Stegostoma tigrinum: one gene and its partners. Each later gene encodes a partner of the first gene's protein in a complex. Links are inferred from orthologs where the notes say so. Each region holds a gene or a part of one and is shown in the gene's direction. Other genes may lie near its edges.

Evidence for each region.
Region 2: smc5 (region 1) and nsmce4a share a complex: the UniProt entries of both Homo sapiens proteins name them as parts of the SMC5-SMC6 complex. The link is inferred for Stegostoma tigrinum from reciprocal best matches to the Homo sapiens genes SMC5 and NSMCE4A.
Region 3: smc5 (region 1) and nsmce2 share a complex: the UniProt entries of both Homo sapiens proteins name them as parts of the SMC5-SMC6 complex. The link is inferred for Stegostoma tigrinum from reciprocal best matches to the Homo sapiens genes SMC5 and NSMCE2.

The regions. Positions count from the first base shown.
Region 1 is NC_081356.1:28,652,966-28,660,951, forward strand, and holds the start of smc5 (structural maintenance of chromosomes protein 5), read left to right. Parts: upstream 1-4,887; 5' UTR 4,888-4,948; coding exon 4,949-5,106; intron 5,107-5,440; exon of another isoform or gene 5,441-5,485; intron 5,486-7,986. UniProt on the Homo sapiens protein: Core component of the SMC5-SMC6 complex, a complex involved in repair of DNA double-strand breaks by homologous recombination.
Region 2 is NC_081373.1:27,619,472-27,626,865, reverse strand, and holds the start of nsmce4a (non-structural maintenance of chromosomes element 4 homolog A), read left to right. Parts: upstream 1-4,385; 5' UTR 4,386-4,439; coding exon 4,440-4,701; intron 4,702-7,394. UniProt on the Homo sapiens protein: Component of the SMC5-SMC6 complex, a complex involved in DNA double-strand breaks by homologous recombination. The complex may promote sister chromatid homologous recombination by recruiting the SMC1-SMC3 cohesin complex to double-strand breaks.
Region 3 is NC_081358.1:47,631,986-47,638,922, forward strand, and holds the start of nsmce2 (E3 SUMO-protein ligase NSE2), read left to right. Parts: upstream 1-3,854; 5' UTR 3,855-3,965; intron 3,966-6,937. Other genes in the region: washc5 (WASH complex subunit 5), read left to right, coding at 33-89. UniProt on the Homo sapiens protein: E3 SUMO-protein ligase component of the SMC5-SMC6 complex, a complex involved in DNA double-strand break repair by homologous recombination. Is not be required for the stability of the complex.

The DNA.
Region 1 (7,986 bases):
AACAGGTTTTCCATTTTCTACTTTAATTGTATTGGCCTTGCAAGTAACACAAAACATAGATATCACTTTTCTGATACTTTTCAGTCATGATTTTTCTTATATTTTCTTAATTTGTTCATAGAATGTGGCTTCACAGCAAGTTGATATTTATTATCCACCCCTAATTGTCCTAGAGAAGGTGGTTTGAGTTGCTTTCTTCAACTAGTGCAGTCCATGCAGCATAGGAACATCCATTGTGCTATTAGAAAGAGAGTTCCAGGATTTTGACCTAGTGACACTGAGGTAACGGCACTACCCTCAACCCTTTGCACGTTTATTTTACATGTTAATCTCTGACATAAGAGGATATCAATAGCTTTCTGAAATTCCAAGTAAACCACATCCACCAGTACCACTTATCAAATCTACCAGTTGCATCTGTGGAAAATTTCAGTAGTTTTGTCAAGAATGATTTCCCTTCAGTAAATCTACAGTGACTCTGTCAAATCCTGTCATTATTTTTTTCCCCAAGTACTCTTCCATAAATTTCTCATAATGCCTTCTAGCATTTTCCCAGAAACAGGAAACAGCAGCCTTGTTGCGGTGGGCAATTTTAGCTTCCTGTATATGGACTGGGACTCACTTGGTGCTAATGGCTTGGACAGACAGAATTTGTAAAGACCCTTCAGGAGGGTTTCTTGACATAGTATGTAAACTGTCCAACCAGGGAAGGAGTTGTCTGAAGAAGGATCCTGACCTGAAACATCAGCTTTCCTGCTCCTCTGATACTGCCTGGCCTGCTGCGTTCCTCCAGGTCCACACTGTGTTATCTCTGACTCCAGCACTGGCAGTTCTTACTATCTCTGAAGGAGTTTTCTGGACCTGGTTTTGGGAAACGAGCCTGGTCAGGTGACTGAACATTTAGTGGGGGAGTACAGCAGTTGTTGGTGAAGTTCTAAACTGAGGTAAGACTATACAACAATATTAGGTAGGAACTGGAAACTTTCTCTTGGAGGTGGCTGTTAGAGGGTAAATCCACATCGGACATGTGGGACTCTTTCAAATGGCTCATTCTTGCGAGAATGAAAGGTAAGTATGGCAAGTAATGTGAACTTTGGATGATGAGAGAAGTTATGACCTTGGTTGAAAAGAAAAAGGAAGCATATGTAAGGTCTAGGAGGATAGGAACTCATGAAGCCCTTTAAGTATGCAAGGAAAATAGGAAAGAACTTAAAAAACGATTAGAAGGGCTTAAAGGGGTCATGAGAAGTCATTAACAAACAGGATTAAGGAGAATCCCAAGGCTTTTATATACACACACACACACACACACACACACACACACACACAAAGTGAGAGGGTAGCCAGGGAAAGGGTTAGCTCACTCAAGGACAAAGGAAGAAATCTACATCTACAGCCAGAGAAGGAATTGGTGGAGAATGATGTCAGGGAAGGGAGTGTGGAATTGCTAAGCCAAGTTGCTAATAAAAAGGAACAGGTGTTGTGCATCTTAAAAAGTATTAAAGTAGATAGGTCTTTGAATCCTGATGGTATCTTTCCCAGAATATTAAGGGAGGTAAGAGAACAAATTGCTGGAGCTTTGACAGACACCTTTGTATCCTCTTTGGCCACAGGTACGGCCCCAGAGGATACTGGGGAATATTGTCCCATTGTTTAAGAAGGGTAGCAGGGTTGATCCAGGAAATTACAGGCCTGTGAACCTCACATTGATAGTAAGGAAACTCAGGTACAAAATCTATTCGCATTTAGACGAAAATGGACTTAATAGTGATAGACAGCATGGTTTTGTCCAGGGGAGGTCATGGAGTTTTATGAAGAAATGATGAAGACTTTGATGAGGGAAAAGCAATTGATGTTGTCCATGTGGACTTCAGTGAAGCCTTTGTCAAGATCCCTCATGGTAGACTGGTACAAAAGGTGAAGTCATATGGAATCAAAGGTGAGCTGGCAAGTTGGATACAGAACTGCCTTAGTTACAGGAGACAGAAGGTAGTGGTGGAAGGATGCTTTTCGGAATGGAGGGCTGAGAGATGTGGGGTTCCATAGGGATCAGTGCTGGGACCTCTGCTGTTCATGGTCTACGTAAATGATTTTGAAGAAAATGTAGCTGGTCTAATTAGTAAGCTGTGGAAATACAAAGATTGGTAGAGTTGCGAATAATGAGAATTGTCAGAGGATACAAGGCATGGGCACAAAAATGGCAAATGGAGTTTAACGTGGACACATGAGGTGATGCATTTTGGAAGGTCAAGTACAGGTGGAAATTATGCACTGAATGGCAGAACCCTTAGGAATATTGATATGCAGAGGGATCTAGATGTGCAGGTCTACCGATCACTGAAGGTGGCAGCGCAGTTCGATGAGGTAGTAAAAAAGGCCTACAGCATATGAACCTTCATTGAAAGGGGTATTACCCGTGAGGATAGATGCTGCAGCTCTACAGAAGTTTAGTTAGGCGACACTTGGAATACTGCATATAGTTCTGGTCAGCATACTACCAGAAGGATGGGTGGCTAGACTGGGTCTGTTTTCACTAGAACGTAGGAGGTTGAGGGGTGGCCTAATAGATGTTTAGTAGATTGTGAATGGCCTGGATAGACTGGAAAGCACAAGGGTGGAGAGATCAATTACTTGGGGCCACCGGTTCAGGGTGCTGGGGTGGGGGTGGAGAGAGGATGAAGTTTAAAACAGATGTATGATGCATGTTTTTCACACAGGGGGCGGTGAGTGTCCGGAATACATTGCCAGAGGTGGTGGAAGCAGACACAATAGCAGCGTTCAAGAAGCACCTGGACAAATAGATGAATATGAAGGGAATAGAGGGATACAGATCTTGTAATTGAAGACAGTTTTAGTATGGAAGGACAAGATGTGTCAGCACAGGCTTCGAGGGCTGAAGGGCCTCTCCATGTGCTGTATTGTTCTTTGTTTGTTCCCAGTACCAATGTGAGACTAACCAGTCTCTAATTTCCACTTTTCTCTGCATCATTTTTTAAAAAATAGTGACATTACATTAGTTACCTCCCAATCTATAGAAACTGTTCCAGAGCTTTTGGATTTAAAAAAATGGCCATCAGTGTATCCACTATTTCTAGGACCACTTCTTCAATACTCTGGGACATAGATTATCAGTACTTGGGACTGATTGGTCTTGAATCACATCAATTGCTGCAAAACTATTTCCCTACAACTACTTGAGTTCCTCCCTCTCACTAAACTCTGTATTCCCCAGCATTTTTGGATCATTATTTGTATCTTCTTTTGTGAAGATAATACAAAAAATATACACTTAATTCATCTGCCATCTTCGTTCCCCATTATAACATCCCCCACTGTTCCTGACTCTAAGGAATTCACATATATAATCACTAATCTCTTTCACTTCATAATGCTATAAAGGTTTTTCTGATCAATTTGTATATTCTCCACAAACTTACTGCATTTTCCCCTTGTTAATAAATCACTATGTCCTGCTTTGTTGAAATCTAAACTGTTCCTCAGATCTGCCACTTTTTTTGGGCTAATTTGTATGCCCCTTTCTTGGATCTAATACTATCCCTCATTTGTTAGCCACGATCAGGCCACCTTTCCTGTTTTGTTTTTGTGCCCCTCACAGATGAACAATTGTTGCAGTTCTTCCTGTCTTGGCACTCTTTAAAAGTTTGCCATTTACTGTCATCCTTTGAGTAACTTTCCCCAGTTTATCACAGACAGCTCTTACCTCACACTACCACAATTTCCTTTCTTTAGATTCAGAATCCTAGTCTCAGGGTCAACTATGTCATTTCCATCTAAACAAATAATTCTATCATATCGTGGTCACCCCTTTTTAAGGGGACCTTGTACAGCTCGACTTCAAATTATTTCTCTCATTACGAAGCAGACAGTCTAGGATAGCCTGTTCTTTAAGTAGTTCCTCAAAGCATTGATCCAGAAATCTCACACTCCCAAGAATTCCTCTTCTACAGCATTATTACCCACTTGATTTACTGTATCAATATGCAGATTAAAGTCACCCATAATTATGTCTGTTCCTTTACTGCCTGGGTCACTAATTTCTTGTAAAGTGCCTTCCCCAATGTTAGCATTCCAGTTAGGGAAGTGAGTCTATTTACAACACTATCTTGCTTACCCTTGGTGTTTCTAAGTTGTAACCACACAGATTCTACTTGACAGGTGTAAGTAAAAACCAAAAGAATTGCAGATGCTGTAAATCAGGAACAAAGTCGCTGGAAAAGCTCAGCAGGTCTGGCAGCATCTGTAAAAGAAAAAAAAGTTAACAGAAGGAAAAAAAATTGACAACTGAGAATGGGTCACCGGACTCGAAACACTATTTTTTTTCCCTGCACAGATGCTGCCAGATCTACTGAGCTTCTCCAGCAACTTTGTTTTTGTGACAGGTGTAAGTATCCTCCTTCACTATTGCGTTAACGTCCTGTTTAACCCTACTCCTTTTCCTCTTTGTCTGTCCTTCCTAAATACTGAATACCCCTGTACATTCAGTTCTCATCCCTGGCCACCCCACAACTATATTATGTGTATTGCCAACTACTTGACACCTGTTTCCGTCTATTGGCGCCATCAGTAGCCAAAACTACGATTGCAGGGAGGGGGCTTGTGGCAATATCCCTACCCTTGAACCAGGTAGCCTACGTTCAAATTCCATCTATATAACATCTCAGAACAGGTTGATTTGACAAAGCTCCAAAAACTGCGACTTTGCTACAGCTGAGCGACTGTCCTGTAGCGTCCGCACCGCCTGCTTTGTGACGTTTGCACGATCCCGCCAAAGAGGGACGGGCGGGCCTCGAACTCCGCAGTCACGCGCCCTCTCTCCCCGACCGCAACCCACCAAACCAACGCGCGTCACGAGTCGGGGTGAAGCGACGTCGGCGTGATGACGTGAGCCCGGAGGTTTGCGCGGGAAAAGAGCCCGGCGACCGTCAAGATGGCGGCGCTGAAGCGTAAACTGGCCGGGCAGGGGGAGACGAGCGGAAAAAGAGGGCTGAGCGGCCGGCACGTCCCACCGGAGGCAACTGGGGAAGATAGGGCCGGCAACCAGTTCGTGGAAGGATCGATCGTCAGGATCAAGATGGACAATTTCCTGTGAGTCAAGCGGCGGTAGCGGTGAGGGACAGACCGAGGCTTCTGGGCCTTCGGCCTGGGGGCCGGGTCGATGGAGTCCCCGTTTTATATCCGACCCCAAAAGCAGAGTCTTCCTCAGCGATCAGGCCAGGCCACAGTCGCCGATTTCTGTTCTTTTCAGAATCAGGGCTCTGGTGGGTGAGGATCAGGTCCCTTTAACTGAGTGATGTCTCTCGGGTTGGTCGCGAATGTCCCGTCTGAGAAGTTCAGTCGTTTCCTAACCCCTGACTGCCTCCGGGCCCTGCCCGCATAGGGACTCACCCTGGAAGTAGAATTTTACAAATAAACTTCGGCTGATTCTGTTTCCTGGGCTGAGTGGGAGGGATCTCAGCCGTATAAGGTGTGCTATTAATGATATTTGGTTGAGATATGAGAGTGGCATCGCCCAAGGAATTTGCAGCACTGAAGCAGACCGTTAGCCCAGACTAGTCCGTATTAGCGTTTATGGTTTTACAAGAGCCTTCTGAAAGCTTTCTTCATCCCTCTATTTCGCTTCCCCTGAAATGTGTCTCCGAGCGTTTGAATTGTCATGAAAAGGCACTCCCTCGCTGCATCGCAGTCTGAAGAAGTGCCTCCGAGTCTTTTAATTTCAAAAGCTTGCTGTTGCGTTCACGTTCACTGCATTGGACCCTATTCGCAACCTGGTTCCGCGATCAGATTACAAAACCACAAAAGTGGCCAGATGGTTCCTTTCAGAGTCACATTAATCCCGGAGAGATTGATCGTGTCTCCTGTTTTCTGTACCCATCCCACTCATTCAAAGGAAAACTTAGATATTGACAGGCTCAGGCTTCACCTTCGATTAGGCAAACTGGAGAGCACTTTTTGTGTTGATATCAAGGGCTGTGAATACTGTGACTTTGTGATAAATGTCGATGCGCATAAGTCAGTCATCATCTGAGGGGAACCATAAATATGCTTTTGGCTGAATTTTATTTCATAATTGGAATAAGTTTTAAGTGGGTGGACAAGTAAAGAAAGGGGACAGGCAGAGAGAATGAAAGGGAAGGTCTGATATGCTGGAGTGATTAAATGACAAAGGTGAGATGATAATAAGCAAGAAAAGAAATAAAAGATAGGTCTGGAGGAGGTGCAAATGACAGAACCAGAACTATTACCAAGGGATGCTATCCAACAAAATCAATTGAAAGCAGTGCCATCAGTTAAAATTGTCGAATTTGGTTGTGGAACCTGGAATGCTATAAAGTGCTTAATTAAAAGATAAATAACTTTCCTAGCATTTCTTTTGCATTTCAGTAGAATAGTGTAAGAGTTTGTTTTAGAGTTGGGCAGAGAATTGAAATGAATGGTGACTGGTCATAGTTGTGGACTAAACTACTGTGTTCCACAAACGATCACCAATCTATGCTCCCCAGTCTCGAGGAATGGATACAATAATCAATAGTGTTTAAAGGCCAATGAGGTAAATGAGTAGTAGCAGTAGATGAAACACCCTTGCAGAGAGAAAGCACGGACATGACTGGCTGGTCTTCTGCAGTCAATGTAGGATCTTAACAACACCAAATTGAAAGAAGTACAAGAAAATTACTATATTCCAAAGGTACTATGATAAAGGGAAGAGAATTTGGATGATAAAGAAGGGACACAGATCTTGAGGAATGCTCCTTTATTCTAATTTTGAACTCTTTCCGAGTTCTGAGTATCTTTCTGTCAGACTTTGTACAAAGGTGATGGGCAATGTAGAAAAAATGAATACTGGAAATCTAGAATATAAATTAAAACGTGTAGGAAACAAAGAAACTGACATTCGTGTTGAGACCCTTCTTCTTTACCTGAAACGTCAACTTTCCTACTCCTCTGATGCTGCTTGGCCTGCTGTGTTCATCCAGCTCTACACCGTGTTATGTCAGATTTTCCAGCATCGGCAGTTCCTACTATCTCTGTAGGAAACAAATATGATTTAACAGCAGCTTTTAAGAAAAAACATTGATATTTCATTTAAATATATGAATATTTTTGATGTAGAAATTTAGCACAGCTGAAAGTGCCAAGAAAGTGAAATAAATTAATAAAATGTGAGGCTGGATGAACACAGCAGGCCAAGCAGCATCTCAGGAGCACAAAAGCTGACGTTTCGGGCCTAGACCCTTCATCAGAGAGGGGGATGGGGAGCGGGAACTGGAATAAATAGGGAGAGAGGGGGAGGCGGACCGCAGACGGAGAGAAAAGAAGATAGGTGGAGAGAGTATACGTGGGGAGGGGATAGGTCAGTCCAGGGAAGACGGACAGGTCAAGGAGGTGGGATGAGGTTAGTAGGTAGATGGGGGTGCGGCTTGGGGTGGGAGGAAGGGATGGGTGAGAGGAAGAACCGGTTAGGGAGGCAGAGACAGGTTGGACTGGTTTTGGGATGCAGTGGGTGGGGGGGGAAGAGCTGGGCTGGTTGTGTGGTGCAGTGGGGGGATGCAGTTGGGGAAGGGGAGATTTTGAAACTGGTGAAGTCCACATTGATACCATATGGCTGCAGGGTTCCCAGGCAGAATATGAGTTGCTGTTCCTGCAACCTTCGGGTGGCATCATTGTGGCACTGCAGGAGGCCCATGATGGACATGTCATCTAGAGAATGGGAGGGGGAGTGGAAATGGTTTACGACTGGGAGGTGCAATTAATGTTTTGAGTTTGATACGCTGATTGTGTTTCCTAGACTGAGTGGGAGGGATCCCAGCTGTATAGAGTATGTTTTAATGATGTTCAGGTTGTGATAAGAGAGTGGCATCGACCAAAGAATTGCATAGAATTTGCAACATAGAAGCAGACGGTTAGGCCAAACTGGTCTGTGTTACCCGTTATTGTTTTACACGAGCCTTCTGCAAGCTCCTTTCA
Region 2 (7,394 bases), on another chromosome or scaffold:
TGATTGTAATGTGAATGTCAGGGGTTTATTTTATTTAACCACTAGAAGTTGCTGAAAGGCAGGTTAGACCACTTTTCACAATCTTTTTACAGATTATAGGGCGAGGTGCTCCTCTTTGGGTGTTTTGCTTTCAGTCCTTGAGGTGGGGGTGGAGTCACTTCCACTTTATAACACCTCATTGTCATTACATATGGTTTATGTCATTGTTACTTACACCTCCCAAGGTCTGATCTTGTCCTCTCAATCTAATTTTTCTCCATTAAAATTTTCAATAAAATCTCCTTTTGTAACTCAAAGCCTTAAGTCCAGAGTCATTTTACTGTAAATCATCCCTAAGGTATCAATGCCTTGTAAAATTGGGTGATGACTTAAACGCCTAAAATTCCTTTTGGAAGGGTAAATTATCAAGCAGATTTACCTCTGTTTGTTTTTCTGATTTTGAGTTTTCCTTCCACACTGACATATCCATGCATTCTGTAACTTGTATTGTAAGGAATGTTTTTGAAATAAAATCTAAGTAGCCAGTAGATCCAGGAAAATAATAGTTGCTTAATTGTGCAGAACTTAAGAGCTGCTTAAAAAGGAACTTGTCATGCATTTATCCAGACAGAATTGCACAAATACCACATTTCATAGGGAACAACATTTTATGCTGCACAAAATGCAGCGTGCTCACAGGCATTAGATTAACTTATTTTGGGAAAAACAATGAAACAAGATAAACATTTTATGAAACACCAGCAACTCAAAACGTGTTCAGCAAGCAATACTGCTGTATTTATCAGAATGGAAATCCAGTTAAGACAATGACAGTGACTATTGAACTTTCTACTGTGTTAGTGACTCAGAGAAAGCACACTTGTATAACGTGACAAATGACATCTATAATCAGTCATTTAGTTTTGACTCTCTATGCATATTTCTGTTATAATTCCTACCAGAACAACTATTTCAAAACCGTTTACTTCACAGAAAACCATCAATATAACTAGAATAAAGATTTACTTTTAAACTGTAACTTGATTAAAAAATATATTAACATGAAACTGGAATTTGAACATTAATACATAGAATACTGAAATACTAAATGATATTTGTGTCCCTCCTAAGGATACATGTTACTTTTTCACATCTCTGCTACGCTGGTTATGTGATTGTTTTTGTGTGCAACATATTCAACAACTGCTGTACAGATTCTTCTGTGATATCACGAAGTGAACATAAGTTCACTCTCAATTAACTAAACTGTTATCGGTTAATATTTTAACTTATCAGTCTGGCTTTTTTATTTTAATGGTAACTGATCTTTCAATGTTAAGTTTGCAGTCAAGTATAATAAAAAAAATCATGAAGTCCTTCAAAACGGATTGATACCAGGTATCATATTGAAGGAAGAAAGTTAACTCGAAAAAGCAAACATTTGAATATGTATGAGTAATTTTTAGAATGGCCTGTTATGTCTTGTAGTATCCAGTATATCTATTATTAAGCAGACTCCAGCATCCCAGCACTAACAGCCACAGGAGACTCCTGCAGTACCCTCCAACCTCTCTTGACAGTCACACATCTATCTGACTGAACCTGCTGTGTGACCACCTCTCTAAATCTACTGACCATCACACCCTGTGTCTCTTGCATGCTCCTCAGTGACTCAAACAGCCTTTCCAGCCATTCCAAATGGTCTGGTAGAAGACAGATCCAAGCACGCCTCCCGAAAACATAGTCTCCATAGATGGTCAACTGTTTGCTCGTCTCCTACATTCAACAGGAGGAACATAGCATTCCATTGACGGGCATAATTGGCCCTTAAAAATTTGCCTTCATATTTTTGCTGAAAAAGACCCATACTTTTCTCAACTCCAGTATTTATAGACTGATTGCTGCTGTCGCTCTATGTTGGAAGGATTTCAAGCCTATATTCTATACAATAAGGCCCAAAAGAAGAAGCTCTAAATTAAACTTTGTATGAAAAAGATCTACCCTTCACTTACCCACAGCTTTTAACTTTAAAAATGTTTCAGTCATGGCCTATTAACTAGTTTTCATTGCCATGCTCAAAAATTATGTCACAGCATTAGACATCTAATACACAAATGTTAAAGACTTGAACAGTCAGAACAAACAAAAATGGATTAAAATACAAACTAAACTGGATTCTCATGACATATGTAACTAATAACAGTAGAAACAGTTAAGTTGGAGACTGCTTAGTCAACAGTGCACTTGCTCTCAGCCAAAAGCAGCTCCATACTAAATGCCAAACTAAACTAACAGAGTAATGTACAGATCAGTTCAACTTCAAACCTTAGTATTCTGATATCTTCACGAACTATTTACCTTTATTTTCACATCATTTGTGCAGTTGAGCGCAGCATGTATCTCCTCTATAAGTCTTCAATCATTGTTTAATGTCAGGCCACTGTAGCTGAAGCTAACTGTGGCTGCACAAGAATCTTATGCACCAAGATCGTATTGGGCAATATTGTTATGATGTAGTTTAAAGTGAGGCTAGCCTTGTCTGGTATCATGTGTCATCAGGTTAAAATGAACAGGCTCTAATCCTGGATTTTATTTCAACGCATAGATGACTTTCTTTTGTAAACATTCAGCACTGCTCGAGGTATGAGTGTACTCATGAAAGGGAAACTGGACAGGAATTTGTGGCATGATGAATTGCAGGTTGCTAATTTTTATTTTAAAACTCTATTAAAACAAGTGACTCAAAAAAGAGAGTAAATCTAGCTCCAGGGATACTAAACTGCTTCTTTAAACCAAACTGTCAATTTCTCCCCATATTACTGTCTGAACCCTAAGCATACTGCATCCATCATGCCAGACATAGCAATGAACTGTCTCCCCATTAAAGCCAGATTGGTGTTTTTTTAAAATTCATTCATGGGATGTGGAAGTCACTAGCCAGACCAGTATTTATTGCCCATGGCTAATTGCCCAGAGGGCAGTTAAGAGTCAACCACATTGTTGTGGGTCTAGAGTCACATGTAGGCCAGACCAGGTAAGGATGGCAGATTTCATTCCCTCAAAGGCATAGTGAACCAGATGGGTTTTTCCAACAGTTGGCAACAGTTTCATTGTCAACATTATATTTTAGTTAAATTCAAGTTCTACCATGATGGCTAGAATTCCAGGTACTCAAGACATTATCTGGGTCTCTGGAATAGTAGTCTAGTGGTAATGCAATTAGATCATCACCTCCCCTCTACTTGTCATGCTGATTGTTGATTATCTCATTCCCTCCTAACCTCTAGCATCTCTCCCCTTTATATTGAATTTCCTGCTCCATTGCACATCCCATCATTCTGCCTGAAAATATCACAATTGAGTTCCCCAGTTTCACCACCAGCTCCTGGTAAAGCCTTCTTTGCCTTTTAATGGACGGGCTCTAGGACTGTCACTCTTTGTGCCCCACCCCTTGACAGACCTGGATGGTCAGCCCTTCTGACAACTGATTGTAACCTTGGCTGAAATCTGTGCAGCTTCCCGAGTGATTTACTGTGACTTTCAAAACTGTTTGCACCAGATCTACAGGACTGACTGGAACCTGACTTCAACTCTTGTGCCCCTAAGATGCTGCTTGGTCTGCTGTGTTCATCCAGCTCCACACTTTGTTATCTTGATCTAATTGCTCACTCCTTTGTGCCCCACCCTGTGATGAGCTTAAATGCCACCTTTTCCAAGCTATCGGTTCTGAAGAAGGGTCATTAGACTTCAAACGTTAACTTTGCTTTCTTTCCACTGATGCTATCAGACCTGTAAAGTTTCTCCAGAGAAATAAAGACTGTAGATAATAGAAGCCTGCACCTGTCGGTGTGAGACTGGAAAAGCACAGCAGGTCAGACAGTATCAAAGTAGGATACATCAACGTTAGTGTACCTAGTACTATTGAAGGGTTTCAGCCCAAAAGGTTGACTTTTTTGCTCCTCTGATGCTGACTGACCTCCTGTGCTTTTCCAGCCTCACACCAATAGATTCTGCTGAGTTTCTCCAGTAATTTGTTTTGGTTCTTTTCCCTCACTTCTATATAGGGTAATGCTTTTATGTAGGATGAGATAACAAGCTGGATGAACACAACAGGCCAAGCAGAAAGGCTGACATTTCGGGTCAGGACCCTTCTTCAGAAACCCGGGGGGAGGGGGGATTCTGAAATAAATAGGGAGAGAGGGGGAGGCGGATAGAAGGTGGATCAAGGACAAGATAGGCTGAGAGGAGACGAACAGGTCAAGGAGGCCCTATACAGAACTTTTATTTAATAAAAATTAAAATCTGAAGCAATAACACCTTTCGTCCTTCACTGATGACGCAAACCTGGGAAACATGTTCAACTACAAATTAAGAGTCGGTGGCTTTGACTTCCGGCGCATGTGGAGGTGACGTGCTGGAAAGGCGCTGGTTTGGCTTTGTACTGGCGGGGTGGAGAAACAATGTCGGAGGGCAAAGGTCGAGGCCGATCCCCTTATCCCCCCGGGGGATCGCAGCGCTCCGCTGCGGGCACCTCCAACGGCACCATGGCCGGAGCGGGAGCTCCGCAGCGCGGCAGGAGAAACTCAGCCGTCTCGGACTGCACCGTGACCGAGGACGAGGAGCTGGTCGATGGCGCCATCCCGTATGGGGCCCGGGATGATGACCCGAATCGCCGGAGGATGCTGAGGCACCAGTACCGGGAACTTATCAACAGCGTCCAGCGTGAGTGAGCAGGCACGGGGACACCCAGTTCAGATTGTAACCTCTTCTCGCTCTCATCAGGACACTCTGGGTCTTCCGTTCTCCCCTTGTGAACTCCAATAGGAAACGTAAAATTAAATAACAATAGAATCTCTTGTCTTGTATCAATACCACGGGCCAGTTTGATACCGAGTAACCTGCGTCTATATTATTTGTGAACAGGCTTTCCCTTTTTTTTGAGCAGGCTTGCCCTTTATAAATATGGTTTATCAATAACTTCCACTCGGTTAGACTTGAACAATAAGACTACTTTCGAGCGGGAGATTTAAGTTTAGTTCTCATCTCCAGAGGTGTGGAATAAAATGCCTGAACAAGTTGATATTTCAAAATATCCGAAGTTGCTGCTTTGTGGCTTTCATGAGAAAACGTGTCGTCGCAGAATGTGATTCTGAAAGCCAGTCAGATTGCTCCACTTTACCAGTTCAGTTGCTTACCGGCTGTCCTAGTGTGGAGCTGGATGAACACAGCAGGCCATGCAACATCTCCGGAGCACAAAAGCTGACGTTTTGGGCCTAGACCCTTCATCAGAGAAGGGGATGGGGAGAGGGTTCTGGAATAAATAGGGAGAGAGGGGGAGGCAGACTGAAGATGGATAGAGGAGAAGATAGATGGAAAGGGGATAGGTTAGTCCAAGGAAGCGGAATGAGGTTGGTAGGTGAGAGGAAGAACAGGTTAGGGAGGCTGGTTTTGGGATGCAGTGGGGGAGGGGGAGATTTTGAAGCTTGTGAAGTCCAGCCCAGCTCGTCCCCTCCCCCCACTGCATCACAAAACCAGCCCAGCTCGTTCCTGCCTCCCTAACCTGTTCTTCCCCTCTCCTATCTCCTTCTCCCACCTGCCAACCTCATCCCACCGCCTTGAAATGTCCGTCCTCCGTAGACTGACCTATCACCTCCCCACCTATACTCTCCTCTCTACCTATCTTCTCTATCCATCTTCGGTCCACCTCCCCCTCTCTCCCTATTTATTTCAGAACCCTCTCCCCATCCCCCCCCTCTGATGAAGGGTCAAGGCCCAAAACGTCAGCTTTTGTGCTCCTGAGATGCTGCTTGGCCTGCTGTGTTCATCCAGCTGCACACTTTGTTATCTTGGATTCTCTGGCATCTGCAGTTCCCATTATCTCTAGTGTGTACCAATTTGGTTTGTGTGAAATAAAGGTGGTGTGAACAATTTCTTTCCAGGACTTCATCTAATGTTAGTAGAATCTGGAATTGTCCTGTTTACATAGAACATTACAGTACAGTACAGGCCCTTTGGCCCTCGTTGTGCTGACCTGTCATACCGATCTCAAGCTCATCTAAACTACACTATTCCATGTACGTCCATATGCTTATCCAATGACGACTTAAATGTACCTAAAGTTGGCGAATCTACTACCGTTACAGGCAAAGCGTTTCGTTGCCTCACTACTCTGAGTGAAGAAACCATCTCTGACATCTGTCCTATATCTTTCACCCCTCAATTTAAAGCTATGCCCCCTCGTGCTCTCCGTCACCATCCTAGGAAAAAGGCTCTCCCTATCCACCCTATCTAACCCTCTGATTATTTTATATGTTTCTATTAAGTCACCCCTCAACCTTCTTCTCTCCAACGAAAACAGCCTCACGTCCCTCAGACTTATTTCGTAAGATCTTCCCTCCATACCAGGCAACATCCTAGTAAATCTCCTTTGCACCCTTTCCAAAGCTTCCACATCCTTCTTATAATGCGGTGACCAGAACTGTATACAATACTCCAAGTGTGGCCGCACCAGAGTTTTGTACAGCTTAATGATAACCCCTTGGTTCTGGAACTCGATCCCTCTATTAATAAAAGCTAAAACACTGTATGCCTTCTTAACAGCCTTGTCAACCTGGGTGGCAACTTTCAAGGATCTGTGTACATGGACACCGAGATCTCTCTGCTCATCTACACTACTAAGAATCTTACCATTAGCCCTGTACTTTGCCTTCTGGTTACTCCTACCAAAGTGCATCACCTCACACTTGTCTGCATTAAGCTCCATTTGCCACCTCTCAGCCCAGCTCTGCAGCTTATCTATGTCTCTCTGCAACCTACAGCATCCTTCGTCACTATCCACAACTCCACCAACCTTAGTGTCGTCTGCAAATTTACTAACCCATCCTTCTACGCCCTCATCCAGGTCATTTATAAAATGACAAACGGCAGTGGACCCTACACCAACCCTTGCAGTACACCACTAGTAACTGGTCTCCAGGATGAACATTTCCCATCAACCACCACCCTCTGTCTTCTTTTAGCAAGCCAATTTCCAATCCAAATTGCTGTATCTCCCAAAATTCCATTCCTCCGCATTTTGTACAATAGCCTACTGTGGGGAACCTTATCGAACGCCTTGCTGAAATCCATATACACCACATCAACCGGTTTACTCTCATCTACCTGTTTGGTCACCTTCTCAAAGAACTCAATAAAGTTTGTGAGGCACGACCTTCCCTTCACAAAACCGTGCTGACTATCCCTAATCAATTTATTCTTTTCTAGATTATTATAAATCCTATCCCTTATAACCTTTTCCAACACTTTACCAACAACTGAGGTAAGGCTCACTGGTCTATAATTACCAGGGTTGTCTTTACTCCCCTTCTTGAACAGGGGAACCACATTTGCTATCCTCCAGTCGTCTGGCACTATTC
Region 3 (6,937 bases), on another chromosome or scaffold:
ATTGATAAACATTATTGCACTTTTCTTGCCAGGTTGTGGAAGCACATGTCCCTAGTTTCATCTTCGATGAGTTCAGAACAATTCTATAATGATGCCTGAGATGAAGAAAGTAGTCTGCCTCAATGTGAAGTGGTGTGCGTACTAATACCTGATAAATACTGGAATCCTTGGTTAATCTGAATATGCCTGTCTCAGCCAGAATGACACATGAAAACGGTGAATTCAGAATTTTGCTAAAAAAGTTGTGTGAATGCAAAGAAGAATTTACATTTTGCATTTGCAATAACATTGTAGCATCAATGCTGAACCCTTTTCTTCTCCAAACAAAATACAGCTCAGTTATGTATAATCTATATTTTGATTCAAATAAAAAAGTTTACTTGAACTATTGAGAAACAAAATTTTATGACTAATGTATTGCATTTTGAGTGAGCTGTAAATTAAGTAAAATTAATTGTTTAAGCCTTTGCAATTTGCATTTCTTTAAAAACTGGAACTTCAAGTTATATTGAATGGATTGCCTTTGGAAGGATAATGGTTGATCTTAAAATCAAAACATTTTTACATATGAAGGCAATTTTTGACTGTACAGCTGACCATTAAAAGTTCTTTCTGATCATGCTGTGTGGTATGCAACTTAATGGTTTTTCAAAGATGTTTTGTAGTGCAAGTTAAATGTTGTCCTATAATGTTCAGTCACTGGAATTTTACGGAGATCTTTGAGTAATATTCCTTTCTAATTTTCATCTTCGTAAACAGCAAAGTAGACAAAGATCACAATAATGCTGGAAAACAAATGGCAACCTTGAATCTAATCTTCAGGGTCACTCCATGATAAATCTAATGTTATTGAGATAGTTGTTTTAGTAACTCTCAGTATTTTTACAACCGACTATTGATTACAAACAGGTAACATTGTGATCTGGGGACACTTCTGAGGGAGAAGATTGCAGGTCATCCATACCATGAATTTGCTGCTTTTGATGTTTTGAGTAGGAACCAATACAGTTTCTTATTGAAGAATTTATTCCAAATTCAGTTTGAAAGTGAGAAATTGCTGTTCTGTATTTAAAAGATAAAGTAAATATTCAAAGAAAATCTTAAAGGATCTTCTACAAAGACTCGATGTTGTGCCGACCTGCAGACTGGTGCACTCCAAGGCCCAGGACTACGTGCTGAGGGACGCGCTAAAGCTTGGGGCAGCCGCAGCCAAGGCACGGTGGGGAAAGACCACCGTATGAAACCCCTCGTCCAGAATAGAAAAAAGGGTCCTATCTGGTAACTGGGCCCAGCTGGTGCCTTCCCCAACTGGTCAGGGGGCCAACTGGGACTATGCGGGGAGACGACTGACGGGATATTTTCTTTTCTTTGTTTTTCTTTGTTTTGTTCTTTTCCTTTAGTTGGTGTACGTACCCCCTGGGTAACCCAGAGCGGCTTGCATGACTGGGTAGGTGTATAAATGTTTTATTTTTTGTACATTCTATGAATAAAGTATATTTTTTCAAATAAAAAAAAGTGACGCAACATCTGAAAACTAACCTTCCAGCTCAGCAAGCAAACTCACATCCAGAAACTCAACCTGAGCTACAAATCTTCTCAAAACTCGCTATTCTAATTGTTAGCTCACTAAACCTTCTGGGAACTGCTTCCAAAGCATTACCATCCTTCTGCAAGCCCAGTGATTGTACTGTACAAGTACTCCAGGTATGGTCTTCTCATTGTTCTGTATAACTGAAACATAACCTCTCTTGCATACCATTCCCATTGCAATAAACCATAACGTTCTGCTCACTTGCTCTACTTGTGTACTTCTGTGATTCATGCTCTTATTTACCCAGGTTTCTCTATCTCTCAGAGCTCTGCAACTTCTCATCATTTAGATACTATACTTCCTTTCATTCATTCTGTCAAAATGGAAAATTTCACACTTTCCCACATTGTTTCATTTGCCAGGCTGTTATCCGTTCACTTAATCTATCTGTATTTGTCTTGTCTGCTCCTTATTTCCTCTTCATAGTCCATTTTCCTATATTTCTTTGTGTTGTTTGGAAATCTAGCTACCCTTCGATCCTTTGATTCAAATCTTTTATAAATTGCAAGGAGTTGAGGTCCCACCACTGATCCCTGTGGCATATCACTCGTGACATCTGCCAGCCTAAAAAAATTATCTATTTATTGCTACTCTCTGTGTCCTGCTTGCAAGCCAATCTTCTATCCATGCCAATATGTCACTCCTAACAACCTTTGACAGGGCATCTTATCAATGGCCATCCTGAAATCTATCCATCCACAGTTTTTGATAAGGTGCCACATAACAGGCTCCTCAGCAGAGTTGAAGCCCATGGAATAATAGGAGGAATGGCAGCATGGATGTGAGGTTTGCTGAGTGACTGTAAACAGTATAGTGGTGAATTGTATTTCAGACTGGGAGAAGGTGTATGTGGCTTTTCTCAGATGTCTATTCTGGGGCCTTTTTTTCTTAGTTTATGTTAATGGGCTAGATATTGATGTACAGGGCACAACGTCAATATTAGGGGGTGACACAAAACCTTTTAGGTATTGTGAGCTATGAGGAGAATAAAGTTCATGAGACATGGTCATTGGTGGAATGGGTGCAAATGAAATGAAATTCAGAGGAGTTTAAAATGTTAGGAAGAAGGGGAAGAGGAAACGTAAAATAATACGTACAAATTCTAAAGAAGCTGCAGTGACGGAGATGCTTAAATGTATACATTGTTGTTAGAGCCAGGGCATGTTGAGAAAGGGGTTAAAAGGGCAAATGGTATATTAGGCTTTATAAATAGAGAGGCAGGAGAACCTTAACCAAACATGAGTTTGGCCTCATCTGAAGTATTGTGTCTTGTTCTGGGTACTGTATTTTTAAGAATATAAGGCTTTATGTGGCGAACATGAAAGGCTCACAAAACTTGTACCTGGGCTGTTGCAGGAATAGATTGATGAAGCTGAGTTGCTCTTTTTGTGACAATGGTTGTGCAGTGGTTCAAGAGATGTGCCCATACGTGTGAAGAGTCTGGACACAACAGAACTGTTCCAATTGACTAAAGGATCCGATATCAATAGATACTGATCTAGGTGATAGATTAAAAAGTCAAGAGTTTTTATATGGTGAATGGTTAGGAGTGGGAGCTGGCAGGAATGTGGTAGGCTCAGTGCGGTTTTCCAAACACTTCATGATGCGATGAATGTGTCCTGAACAGAACTGTCCACACCCTAAATTGGCCCTTATTAATATTATTTTATTGAATTTTCATCACACAAATTGGACGGCACATAATCAGGTCATTCAGCACTCCCGCCCATTTTTGGGACAGGTTGGACTTAGCAAGTGTGCTCATGATTTGAGAAGAGCTTGTGCAGGAGTTTGGAGCAAATTACTGCAGATGCTGGAAACATAAGAATGCTACAGAGCACAGAGGGTCAGACAGTATCCATGGAGTGAAAGCAAGCTAATGTTTTGAGTCCAGGTGACTCTTCATCAAAGTTGACGTGAATTATGAAGGGAACATTATCAACACCCTGTCTCCCACCCCACTATTTTGCAGAAATGTTGTCCCGTCCACAGTTCACGTCAGCTCTGATGAAGGATCATTTAGACTCAAAACATTAGGTTACTGTCCGTCCTTGCAAGCTGCTTGAACCGCTGTAACTTCCAACATTTTGTTGTGGTGTTGCAGACATTTGCTGCCTTAATCCTAGTGGGCGACTCAAGCCACCGGCAACTGAAGCGAACAGCGACAATCAGAGGCATTCGCAACAACTGTTTCCGGGGGAAAGGAGGGATAGTTTGCAGTGGATACTGGGATTTGTAGTTTTCTATTTGGGGATCCTGGAAGTGGAAGAGTGGGGTGGCTGCAGACTACATGTCCCAGGGCGCCTTGTGCGACACCGTGTTGGCCATTTGAATCGCAGAGCGGCGGCGGCCAAGGGGAGGAAGGCCTAGATTGGTGTGTGGTTTGTGAGTTACATTTGTGTAATTTAACTTGTTTCAGCACATGCGAATTGCTGCTTTGTTTCGTATCCAGCGGCTAGCTGTTGTTCTGGAGTTTCAGCATTCAGGAGCCAAGTTAGTTCACAAACGCAAAACAAATATAATAACCAAACTGGGATAAACAAGCAGTACTAGGAGAGGGAGAGAAACGTTCAACTTGTCATCTTTATGGATTTGTAATCAATTCATGCTTATAAATTCATTCAATTCATGATCCTGTGTCCCTGCGTATAGATGGAGGAGAATTGTTTATTTTGGAAAGCGACCAAAATTAGTTGCTTGTTTATCAACATTTCACAAAGGTCTTTGAAAGGATGCTAAAGCCCTGCACTGAAGGTTCTGGAAATCAAACGTAGAAACAGATTCCTGGAAATCCTCAGCAGATCTGGCAGTTTCTGTGGAGATTGAAACAGGGTTAACCTTTCAGGTTGATATTCAGAGTTTAGATGTTTCCTTTTTGACTGCTGAGCATTTCTAGATTTTTTTTCTTCAAGGACTATTGAGTGGCGTCTATGGGGTAAAAAAAGTTCAGAAATTTCTTGGTTAAGCTGAGGATTACCGTTACTGCACACAATCAAACCACATAACCAATTTGGCTCTGTACTCATGGTTCTCCTACCTGAATCAAGTAGCCTAGTCTCACAGTCCCGTTTGTTTTATTTGCTCATGGCATATGAGAATGACAGGTAAGGCCACTATTTATTGCTCTTGTGAAGGAGGGGGTGAGCTGCTTTCTTGAACCCCCATATTTCATCTGGTGATGGTAGGAAGGGAGTTCTAGAATTTTTTTTTGACCAGTGGCAGTGAAGGAACTTGGGTTGAAAGTTAGAATAGCTTGTAGCTCTGAGGGAAACTTGCAGATCATATTGTCAGAGATAATGGGAACTGCAGATGCTGGAGATTCCAAGATAATAAAATGTGAGGCTGGATGAACACAGCAGGCCAAGCAGCATCTCAGGAGCACAAAAGCTGACGTTTCGGGCCTAGACCCTTCATCAGAGAGGGGGATGGGGGGAGGGAACTGGAATAAATAGGGAGAGAGGGGGAGGCGGACCGAAGATGGAGAGCAAAGAAGATAGGTGGAGAGGGTGTAGGTGGGGAGGTAGGGAGGGGATAGGTCAGTCCAGGGAAGACGGACAGGTCAAGGAGGTGGGATGAGGTTAGTAGGTAGCTGGGGGTGCGGCTGGGGGTGGGAGGAAGGGATGGGTGAGAGGAAGAACCGGTTAGGGAGGCAGAGACAGGTTGGACTGGTTTTGGGATGCAGTGGGTGGGGGGGAAGAGCTGGGCTGGTTGTGTGGTGCAGTGGGGGGAGGGGATGAACTGGGCTGGTTTAGGGATGCAGTGGGGGAAGGGGAGATTTTGAAACTGGTGAAGTCCACATTGATACCATATGGCTGCAGGGTTCCCAGGCGGAATATGAGTTGCTGTTCCTGCAACCTTCGGGTGGCATCATTGTGGCAGTGCAGGAGGCCCATGATGGACATGTCATCAAGAGAATGGGAGGGGGAGTGGAAATGGTTTGCGACTGGGAGGTGCAGTTGTTTGTTGCGAACTGAGCGGAGGTGTTCTGCAAAGCGGTCCCCAAGCCTCCGCTTGGTTTCCCCAATGTAGAGAAAGCCGCACCGGGTACAGTGGATGCAGTATACCACATTGGCAGATGTGCAGGTGAACCTCTGCTTAATGTGGAATGTCATCTTGGGGCCTGGGATGGGGGTGAGGGAGGAGGTGTGGGGACAAGTGTAGCATTTCCTGCGGTTGCAGGGGAAGGTGCCGGGTGTGGTGGGGTTGGAGGGCAGTGTGGAGCGAACAAGGGAGTCACGGAGAGAGTGGTCTCTCCGGAAAGCAGACAGGGGTGGGGATGGAAAAATGTCTTGGGTGGTGGGGTCGGATTGTAAATGGCGGAAGTGTCGGAGGATAATGCGTTGTATCCGGAGGTTGGTAGGGTGGTGTGTGAGAACGAGGGGGATCCTCTTGGGGCGGTTGTGGCGGGGGCGGGGTGTGAGGGATGTGTTGCGGGAAATGCGGGAGACGCGGTCAAGGGCGTTCTCAATCACCGTGGGGGGGAAGTTGCGGTCCTTAAAGAACTTGGACATCTGGGATGTGCGGGAGTGGAATGTCTTATCGTGGGAGCAGATGCGGCGGAGGCGGAGGAATTGGGAATAGGGGATGGAGTTTTTGCAGGAGGGTGGGTGGGAGGAGGTGTATTCTAGGTAGCTGTGGGAGTCGGTGGGCTTGAAATGGACATCAGTTACAAGCTGGTTGCCTGAGATGGAGACTGAGAGGTCCAGGAAGGTGAGGGATGTGCTGGAGATGGCCCAGGTGAACTGAAGGTTGGGGTGGAAGGTGTTGGTGAAGTGGATGAACTGTTCGAGCTCCTCTGGGGAGCAAGAGGCGGCGCCGATACAGTCATCAATGTACCGGAGGAAGAGGTGGGGTTTGGGGCCTGTGTAGGTGCGGAAGATCATATTGTCACTCGTCTGTTGGCTTGCTTTTTTCTTGCTGGTCAATGCTGTAGTTTTGAAAGGTACTGTTGAAGGAGCTTTGCTGAGTTTATTACAATACATAAAATAAACTTATAAACACTGCTGCCGCTGTGTCCTTGTGGTGGGGCTGTTGACTGTTTAACACTGTGGAAGAATTGCATTGCTTTATCCTCCATCATGTTGAACTGTACATGTAACTAGAGTTGTGTTCATTTGGCCAAGTGGAGACTCTTCCATTACACTCTTGACTTTACCTTAAACAGTAGCAGGCTTTGGAGAATCTGGAAGTGGATTATTCACATATGGTCAATGGTTAACCACCTGGATGTTAATGGAAATTTATTTGATCATAATACCACTGCATGCCAAAGGGAAATGATTAAGTTCTTTCTTGTTGGAGATGATCATTGGCTAGCATTTGTGTCATGAATCTGACTTGCTGCTT